Regions from separate parts of the Mus musculus genome. Here region 2 is reported to be linked to region 1. Evidence: microRNA targets listed by miRTarBase, many of them from high-throughput screens and not tested one by one. Region 1 holds a microRNA gene; the other region holds the end of a gene's coding sequence. Distances are from middle to middle.

Region 1 (4,067 bases):
CTATAACCTGATATTAAAAGCATTTTCAATTACATAATCATTATATATTTATATTATACATAATATTATACATAATATAAATATTATAACTGCCAGAAATAGAGCCCTAAACACATACCCAGAATATAGAACACACAGGTTTTGTTTTAATTGTTGTTTTTAGGACAAGATCTCATAGAGCCTAGGCTGGGCTCCAAACCTCTGTGTAGCTAAGTAAAACCTTGAATTCATAATCCTCCTGCCTCCAGCAGTGACTACAAGGTGGGCAGAATCTGTGGGTTTGACTGGTGTCTGGGTGAACTTTTCACTTAGTACGGATTTCTGCTAAATGTACAAGTGCAAGAAAAAAAATTGTAGAGTCAGAAGAATGAGAGGCACAGTGTGGGACACAATGAAAAACACTCAGATGGGGGCTGGAGAGATGGCTCAGTGGTTAAGAGCACTGGCTGCTCTTCCAGAGGTCCCTCGTTCAATTCCCAGCACCCACATGGTGGCTCACAACCATCTGTCATGGAATCTGATGCCCTCTTCTGGTGTGTCTGAAGACAGCAACCCTGTACTCACATACATAAAATAAATAAATCTTTAAAACAAACAAACAAACAGAAAATCACCTAGATGTATTTCAAGAGAGCGCCAGTCAGTTGAAGAGTGTGGAAGGCAGAATTACTTGAAGTAGGGATGTTTTGTCTTTAAACCCCCAGACCAAAGGGAGGAAGCAAACAGGAGTTAGTTACCAGTGGCAGGTAGGGCTGTTCTAGCTTGCTATCTAGGACTAAGTACTCATTACCCTGAGGTAATGGGACTAAGTACTCATTACCCTGAGGTAATGGAAAGCAGGTTGCTTGTGGTTAGAAAAGAGGGCGCAGATATGAGAGGCGGGGAATGGAAGGCAGTGCTGTGTTTGCTGAAATTGGAAGCACAAAATAATGTGGGCCCCTCCTTTCCTCCACTACACCCCATCACACACATACTCTTGTTTTCACATATACTCTTACCTAGGTAGCCCAGAGTGGCCTCAAATTCCAAATTCCCATGCCTATCTCCTAAGTATCAGAAGTATAAATATATAGCTGTTAACCATTGTACCCTGCTTGAATTCATGATTTCCAACATATGAAGGTGTGTGTGTGTGTGTGTGTGTGTGTGTGTGTGTGTGTGTGTGTGTTTAGTTCTGCTGAGAAACCCAGAAGTAAGCAATCATGGTTCAGTAGCAGTGCACTAGACTGGAGCTCATGTTGATGTCTATAAGTGATTCTCTTTTCTACAAGAATAGCCAGCACTTGCTGGAAAAATGATCAGTCCAGGGCTTGGGGACTGGAGCAGGGGAAGTGTAGCATGCACCTGAGACACGCCACTGTCCCAGACGGTAAGAAAATCTTCCAAGAATGGTACAAGAGGACAAGGAAACCGGTTTGGGGACTATTGGTGCTGGCTGCTGCTGGGGCAGGGACAGTCACTGCCTTCAATTGTGTGTTCACTGGGTGAGTCTACCAACTTCAGCGAATGCTTCTATACCCAGTGGCACGTGAACCACTGTGGTTAGACTCAAGGGGTGCAAAACAAGAAGGCATGAAGGGGCTCGAGGGTTGTGCAGAGGTTAAGAGCACCTGTTATTCTTGTAGAGAACCCACATGGGGCTCACAACCATCCAAACTGCAATTCCAAGCATCCAATGCCCTTTTCTGGCCTCTGCAGGTAGCAGGCACACATGGGGCACATGAGTACATTCAGGCAAAACATGTAATATTAAAAAAGAGAGAGAGAGAGACATGAACATGTCAGAGGGACTGGAGGGGAAGATGAGAAGACAGGGAGAATAATCAGAATGCACTGTGTATATATCAAATTGTCAAAGAATAAATTAATAAAAAAACAGTTTGAGGAACTTCCTCTGGGTAAATCCAAGAATTTTTACAATAGTGGTGGTGATGATGATAATAATAATAAGAGGCTATTAATGCACTAAATAAACCAGGACTCCAAATGTCCTGTAAGTAGACAGAGCAGCACAGACAACTGGAGGGGCAGCTCTCCCTACCATAGGACACAGCAAAGCAATGGAGAAGGAATGATGGAGTGAGGAGGCTGAGATTGAAGGCTTCAAAGACAGGACATTCACCTATTTTGATACATTTGATAGATTTATCAACCATAAAGGAAAACATAATGCCCACAGTGGAGAGTTTGGGACACATCACCTTAAACATGAGATCAAGGTTATAAATAAATAAATAAATAAATAAATCTGCCAGGCAGCCGGGCTGTGGTGGCGCTCGCCTTTAATCCCAGCACTTGGGAGGTAGAGGCAGGCAGATCTCTGTGAGTTCGAGGCCAGCCTGCTCAACAGAATGAGTTCTAGGGCAGCCAGGAACACACAGAGAAACCCTGTCTCAAGAAGGTAAAAAGTAAAAAAAAAAAAAAAAAGAAAAAGTAAAAAAGAAGAAGAAAAAAGAAAAGAGAGAGAGAACAGTCTACATTCTGAGGGGAAGCTGTAGTAGCTACACAGTATTGAACACCACACACAAGGCTTATACACACGACACAGTCAAGCCTGCATTATTTGTAGAAATTTAAAATGTCAAGCTAAAAACTTGTTTCTATTCATGAGCACAATGTTAATTTCTTGCCATTTAATGAAGATGCCCTCTTGAGATGGACAGACGGCAGGACAGTCTAAAGCACTGGCCTTGATTGGGTGCACAAGCCTGACTGAGCTCAGTTTGATCCCCAGCACCCACTCGAGTACAAGGGTGTGCCACGGTAACCCAGTGCTCTCAGAAAGAGATGGAGAGTGGAGACGGAGAATCAGCAGAGCTTGCGGACCACCTAGGCCAGAGCACTACTCAGTGAGAAGCAACAGAAGAGACTCCATCCCCCAAAAAAGGTGCAGAGAGAAAACAGACTCCTAAAAGCTGTCCCCTGACCTCCACATGCCTGAAGGACACCTCCCATATCTCTGTGTGTGTGTTTTACAGAAAAAGGAAGGAAGGAAGGAAGGAAGGAAGGAAAAAATATAAAGGTTTTTGTCTTTTTGCCCATGGTCACTTGAATCATGAGACAAAATAAAATTTTCTTCCCTTAAATTGCTTTTTGTGGAGCCTTTGGTTACAATAACTATCCAATTCCAACCACAGGAGGAAAAAAAAATGTGTGAAGATTCGAGTGTATTTCATCAATCAAACAACACAGAACAAACTGAGCACATAGTGTGTCGGGTGCCAGCAGAAAGAATAGAAACGCACATTGAAGAGTAAGCCTGCCGGGCGGTGTTGGCACATGCCTTTAATCCCAGCACTCGGGAGGCAGAGGCAGGCAGATTTCTGAGTTCGAGGCCAGCCTGGTCTGCAGAGTGAGTTCCAGGACAGCCAGGGCTACACAGAGAAACCCTGTCTCGGAAAACCAAAAAAAAAAAAAAAAAAAAGAGTAAGCCTGCTGGAGCAATTTTTTATCTCTTTATTAACCTAAATAATGGGTTATTAGAACTAAAAGCATTAAAGTGCCAACTAGAGATGAAAAGTAATTGTTCTCTCTGGAGAAACATTTAGCCTTAGAAGCAGAAAACAGCAAAAGACAATGGGGTGTATAATTCTGGGGTGACCAGACCTGCCTCTGCCTCCCAAGTGCTGAGATTAAAGGCATGCGCCACCACTGCCCTGCAGACCCAGCCCTTTTGTGAGTAAGTTCAGAGCTACAGATCAGACAAGCTAGAACATTAATCATAACTGCTGATCCAGAAGTGATGTGATGTCTGGGGTTTATATCAAACAATAGAAGTAAGCAGTAGCTTGTAGATGAAGGAAGACAGTTCAGGGGTCCAGAGTACACACTGGCTTTCCAGTCCAGTGGTGTGCAGCACAGTGTGTAGAGCCCTTCCCAGAGCCCAGAGCTTGGATTCCACCTCCTCAGAGAACTAGGTGGTGGGTGATACACGCCTGTAACCCCAGCACTTAGCAGGCTCAGGCAGGAGGCAGGGTCAGCGTCTGGGTTACACAGTAAATTCCCACACCATCCTGGGCCTGAGCTATAGAGTAAGAAGAAAAGGGGGAAAAAATCCACGATTTAAA
Region 2 (4,067 bases), 35 Mb from region 1:
AAACGCACGAATTCCACTCCGGTGCCAAAGGCCAGGATGAAGGAGGCGAGGGCCGCAGGAACCAGCAGCAGCGCCGGTGCCATGGCGAGCAGCGCGGAGCCTGAGGAGAAGGCGGGCTCAGGGTTCCCGCGACTGCTGGCCCTGCCCAGGTCCCGCCTCCTTGGGGGTGCTGGCGGCAAGGCGGGGACCGCGAGCGGCGCGTCACAGCGCGGAGTTGGAATCCCAGGCGTCGTCAGGGCAGCTGGTCTGCGGCTACCCTTGTGGGTCGAATCTCAGCGCTGTCAGTGTTCTCGAGGAAAGTGAAGACAGAGCCTCCCTTGCGTGGAAACATAAAGAACATCTTGTTTTTAAAGATAATCACTCCTTATTCTCCAGCCTCAATCCCTGATGTGCTGGGGTTACAAACGGCGCCACCCCGCCCAACATAGATTTTTGTATAGTGACCGTTTTAGAGCTGGGTGTGGTGGCTCGTGCCTGTAATTCCAGTACTCGGAAGGGTGAGGCAGGAGAATTTGAAGTTAGCTTGGACTGCATATGGAGACCGGTTCCGAAAAAGCCATTAAAAAAAAAAAGAGAGAGAGAGAGACAAGGTCGGGAGATGGTGGCATATGGATCTCCAAGTTCCAGGCCAGCCTGGCCTATATAGTCAGTTCTAGGATAGCCAAAGGCTACACAGAGAAACCCTGTCTCTAAAACCAAAGACCGAGTAATGAAAGGCTCAATCACCATAGCTATCCAAGTACAGGGTCCTCAGAAGACAAGAGCTGATTCTCTCAGATTACAGATAGAGCAAGGGCAGGGAGGCTGGTTGCTCCCAAGACGTCTGGACCAAGTTCTAATGCATTGTATAGCACTTTTCCTCCCCACCCTGATCTCTGCTTGGGAAATGTATTGAGTGGGCTCCATCTGTGAATGTTTTTGAAGAAGTTCTGTACTTACATTTATTTTGCCTTTATGTGTATTGATGTTTTGCTTGCAACTATGTGAGTGTCAGATCTTGGAGTAACAGTGGTGAGCTGCCATGTGGGTGCTGGTATTTGAACCCAGGTCCTCTGGAAGAGCCCAGTACCCTCAACCACTGAGCTCTCTCCAGCCCCCACTTGGACTGCTCAAAAAAAAAAAAATGTATATATATTTTTAATGGCAGAATCTAGCCAGGTGGTGGTACACGCCTTAATGGCAGAATCTTCATGTAGCGCAAGATGGCTTCGAACTTGCTGTTATGTAGCTGAGAATCATCTTGAGCAGATCCTCTTGCCTCTGCCTCCAAGTGCTGGGATTATGGCCTAGCATCACATCCTGGCTCCACTGATCTTCTAGACACTGTGAAGTGGTCCCAGAAGAGCTTATAGGTGGGAAACAAGCAGTTGACTATGTGTGGTTTCTCTTTAACCTGTTTCCTCCTTAAATCATAATGCAAGCTCTAGGGAGGCAAATGCCTAAGGCTCACTGTCCATCCAGCCCAGCCTAAGGGTGCCCCATGTCCCAGTGAGATTCCCTATCTCAAAGAAAAACAAAGTGGCCCGAGGAAAGACATCCAAGGCTGACTTCTGGCCTCCACAGGCATCAAATGAACAATGGTCTAGGACTACTGCTTAGCGGTGAAGCTTTTGAGCAGCATTTCAGGAAGCCTTAGATTCAACCCCCGGCACCACCAAAAAAGAAAAACCTTAAAGATCAAGCATATAACTGGGGTGTGAATGAGTTGTAAAGCAATTGCCTGTCATGAGTTGGGCCTCATTTGTGCCAACCACCAATAGTTCTCTAAGCTTATACATAATTCACTGCAGGAAAATATAAAGTAAGCAACTTTTTTATTGAAGTGAAATTCATAAAGCAAAAAAAACCCAACCCTTTTATACATTAGTACTTAATATTCTGCATTATGTACAATCACTTCCTCTTTCTGATTCCAAGTCTTTCAACTCCCCACAGGGGAACACTAGACCCCTTGAACAGCTTCTGTGTACTCATGGTCTGGCAAGCATCAATTTGCTCTTACCTTTGTGAATTCACACCACACTTTATATATTATTATGCAGGTGGAATCAAACCTGTCCCTTTTGTCTCGCCCTTGTGTTAGGGTGTCTTTGACCACCTTCAAATACTGTGTTTTCACTTCATGTCTGAACATTGCTTTCTGTGCAGACAGTATATATGCTCATCCTTGCTGAACAAAAATCTTCAGCTTTTCTATATTTGGAAAGAGGTGAGGGGCTGGGAATAAGGTTTAGTGGTAGAGGCTTTGCCTAGCATGCATAAAGGAAGGAAGCTCCAGGTTCAAGCCCCAGCCCAACCAAAAAGATAAAACATCAAGTGCTTTTCATTTTTGAATCTTTTGCAGTTTAGACTGAGCTGACCTTGGGGGCGGAAAAACAAAACAAAAACCCAAAAATCCACGATGAGCTTGAACTTCTGATCCTACTAGCCTTTACAGGGACTGCTGGGATTACATACCAAATGCATGTTTAAAAGTTTTCTTTGCAGCCGGGCGTGGTGGCACACGCCTTTAATCCCAGCACTCGGGAGGCAGAGGCAGGCAGATTTCTGAGTTCAAGGCCAGCCTGGTCTACAAAGTGAGTTCCAGGACAGCCAGGGCTATACAGAGAAACCCTGTCTCGAAGAAACAAAACCAAACAAAACAGAGTTTTTTTTTGCTTACAGAACAGTCTTGCTGGGTCATAGAGTGACCAGGCAGGCACAACGAGCACTGACTCACCTTACACATGTCCAGAGAAAATGGCAAAAAACAAACCAAAAAAAATTTTTTCCTTCTCTTTCGAGACAGGATTTACTCTGTTAACAGCCCTGACTGTTCTAGAACTCACTCTGTAGCCCAGGCTGGCCTTGAAATCAGAGCTCTGCCTGCGTCTGCCTCCCGAGTGCGCCACCACGCCCGACTCTCACGCTGTAGCCCAGGCTGAACTGGCACTGGTGAGCTTCCTACTTCAGCCTCCTAAGCACTGGGGCTACAGGCAATGCCCACGGCTAGCTCTGCTTACTTTGAAATAACTTTGCTACTGTTTACTGCAGAGGACAAGCCAAACACCAGCAGTATTCATGAGTTCTACTTTCTCCACATCCTGGAAAGTAGCCAACTTTAAAAAACAAATACAATTTACTCTAAATTAATAATAATAATAAATGAAGTGCAAGTTCAAATCCATTGTGTCTCCACACAGAAACCTGCCACCAAGAAGGCAGAGTGAGCACTGAGCTACTGGAGATGACCACAGCTAACTGCCAACACTGCAAAGCAGAGCAAGTACAGCAAAACTAAAGCCTTTCCTAGCCACACCCATGAGCTACCCTCATCTTCTCAACCAAGCACTCCTGGGAGCTGCTTCATGTTGAGTAGAACCCCGGGAAGTAAAGAGAAAATGCTGGCTTCTGGACAGGAGGTAGAGTCAGGGCACTGAGCCTGGAGCAGCTTCCTCGGAGCACAGCTGGGCAGATGGCAGGTGCTCGGTAGAGAGCCATACCCAGCTCAGGTGAGCCAACTAAAAAACTGGCTATCTTAGGAAAAAAGTTCCCTTTTTTCCCCAAAACATTTTAGGCCTTATTCACATTCCCCAAACAGTTACGATGATACAATATACCTTAGGCCTTTGTGAAACCCTGAGGTTTGTTGTTTGATTTGGTTTTTGAGATGGGGTCTCATTATGTACCTCTGGCTAGCCCAGAACTCAGAAAAATATGATTACTTCTGCCTCCCAAGTGCTGAGATTAAAGGTGTGAACCACCTTGCCCCGTCTTAATTGTGTATGTGTGTGTTCCTTTTTCCAAGTGTTTTCTAGGACTGTTCGATGGTCTGAGAAGGTAAAGGTACATATTTTTTTAGGTAGATGACATTTCCAAATTGGAGAGAACAAAGGCCTCTGGTGTGGCTTCCTGCTTCAGCACTCCAGTCAGGAGGAACTCAGGAGAGAGGAGGGGTAGCCCCAGGCGGGATGGAATAGCACAGCGTGGTAGGTCTTCAGTGCAAGTTATGATGACTCGGTGAAGCTGTGAAGAGACAGCAAAGACGGTTAGGAAGGAACTTTGAAACAGATGCAGGACCCATTAAG

What was found. The annotated mature microRNA mmu-miR-1195 reads UGAGUUCGAGGCCAGCCUGCUCA and lies in region 1 at 2,324-2,346, shown strand. An mRNA with a match to its seed (bases 2 to 7 or 8) in the 3' UTR can be bound and repressed. Matches are read on the target gene's strand: a 7mer-m8 pairs with bases 2 to 8, a 7mer-A1 pairs with bases 2 to 7 and ends in A, and an 8mer does both.
Region 2: miRTarBase lists Mdc1 as a target of mmu-miR-1195. Seed matches in the 3' UTR shown: 7mer-A1 at 3,062-3,068, 7mer-A1 at 2,578-2,584 and 7mer-A1 at 2,549-2,555.

The regions. Positions count from the first base shown.
Region 1 is chr17:70,858,837-70,862,903 of GRCm38, reverse strand. Mir1195 (microRNA 1195) reads left to right here and starts at 2,304; the gene lies at 2,304-2,401.
Region 2 is chr17:35,857,401-35,861,467 of GRCm38, reverse strand. Mdc1 (mediator of DNA damage checkpoint 1) reads right to left here. Exons shown (of 16, transcript NM_001010833.2): 16 at 1,798-4,005. The coding sequence ends at 3,838. Nrm (nurim (nuclear envelope membrane protein)) reads right to left here and starts at 150. Exons shown (of 4, transcript NM_134122.2): 1 at 1-150. The coding sequence starts at 83.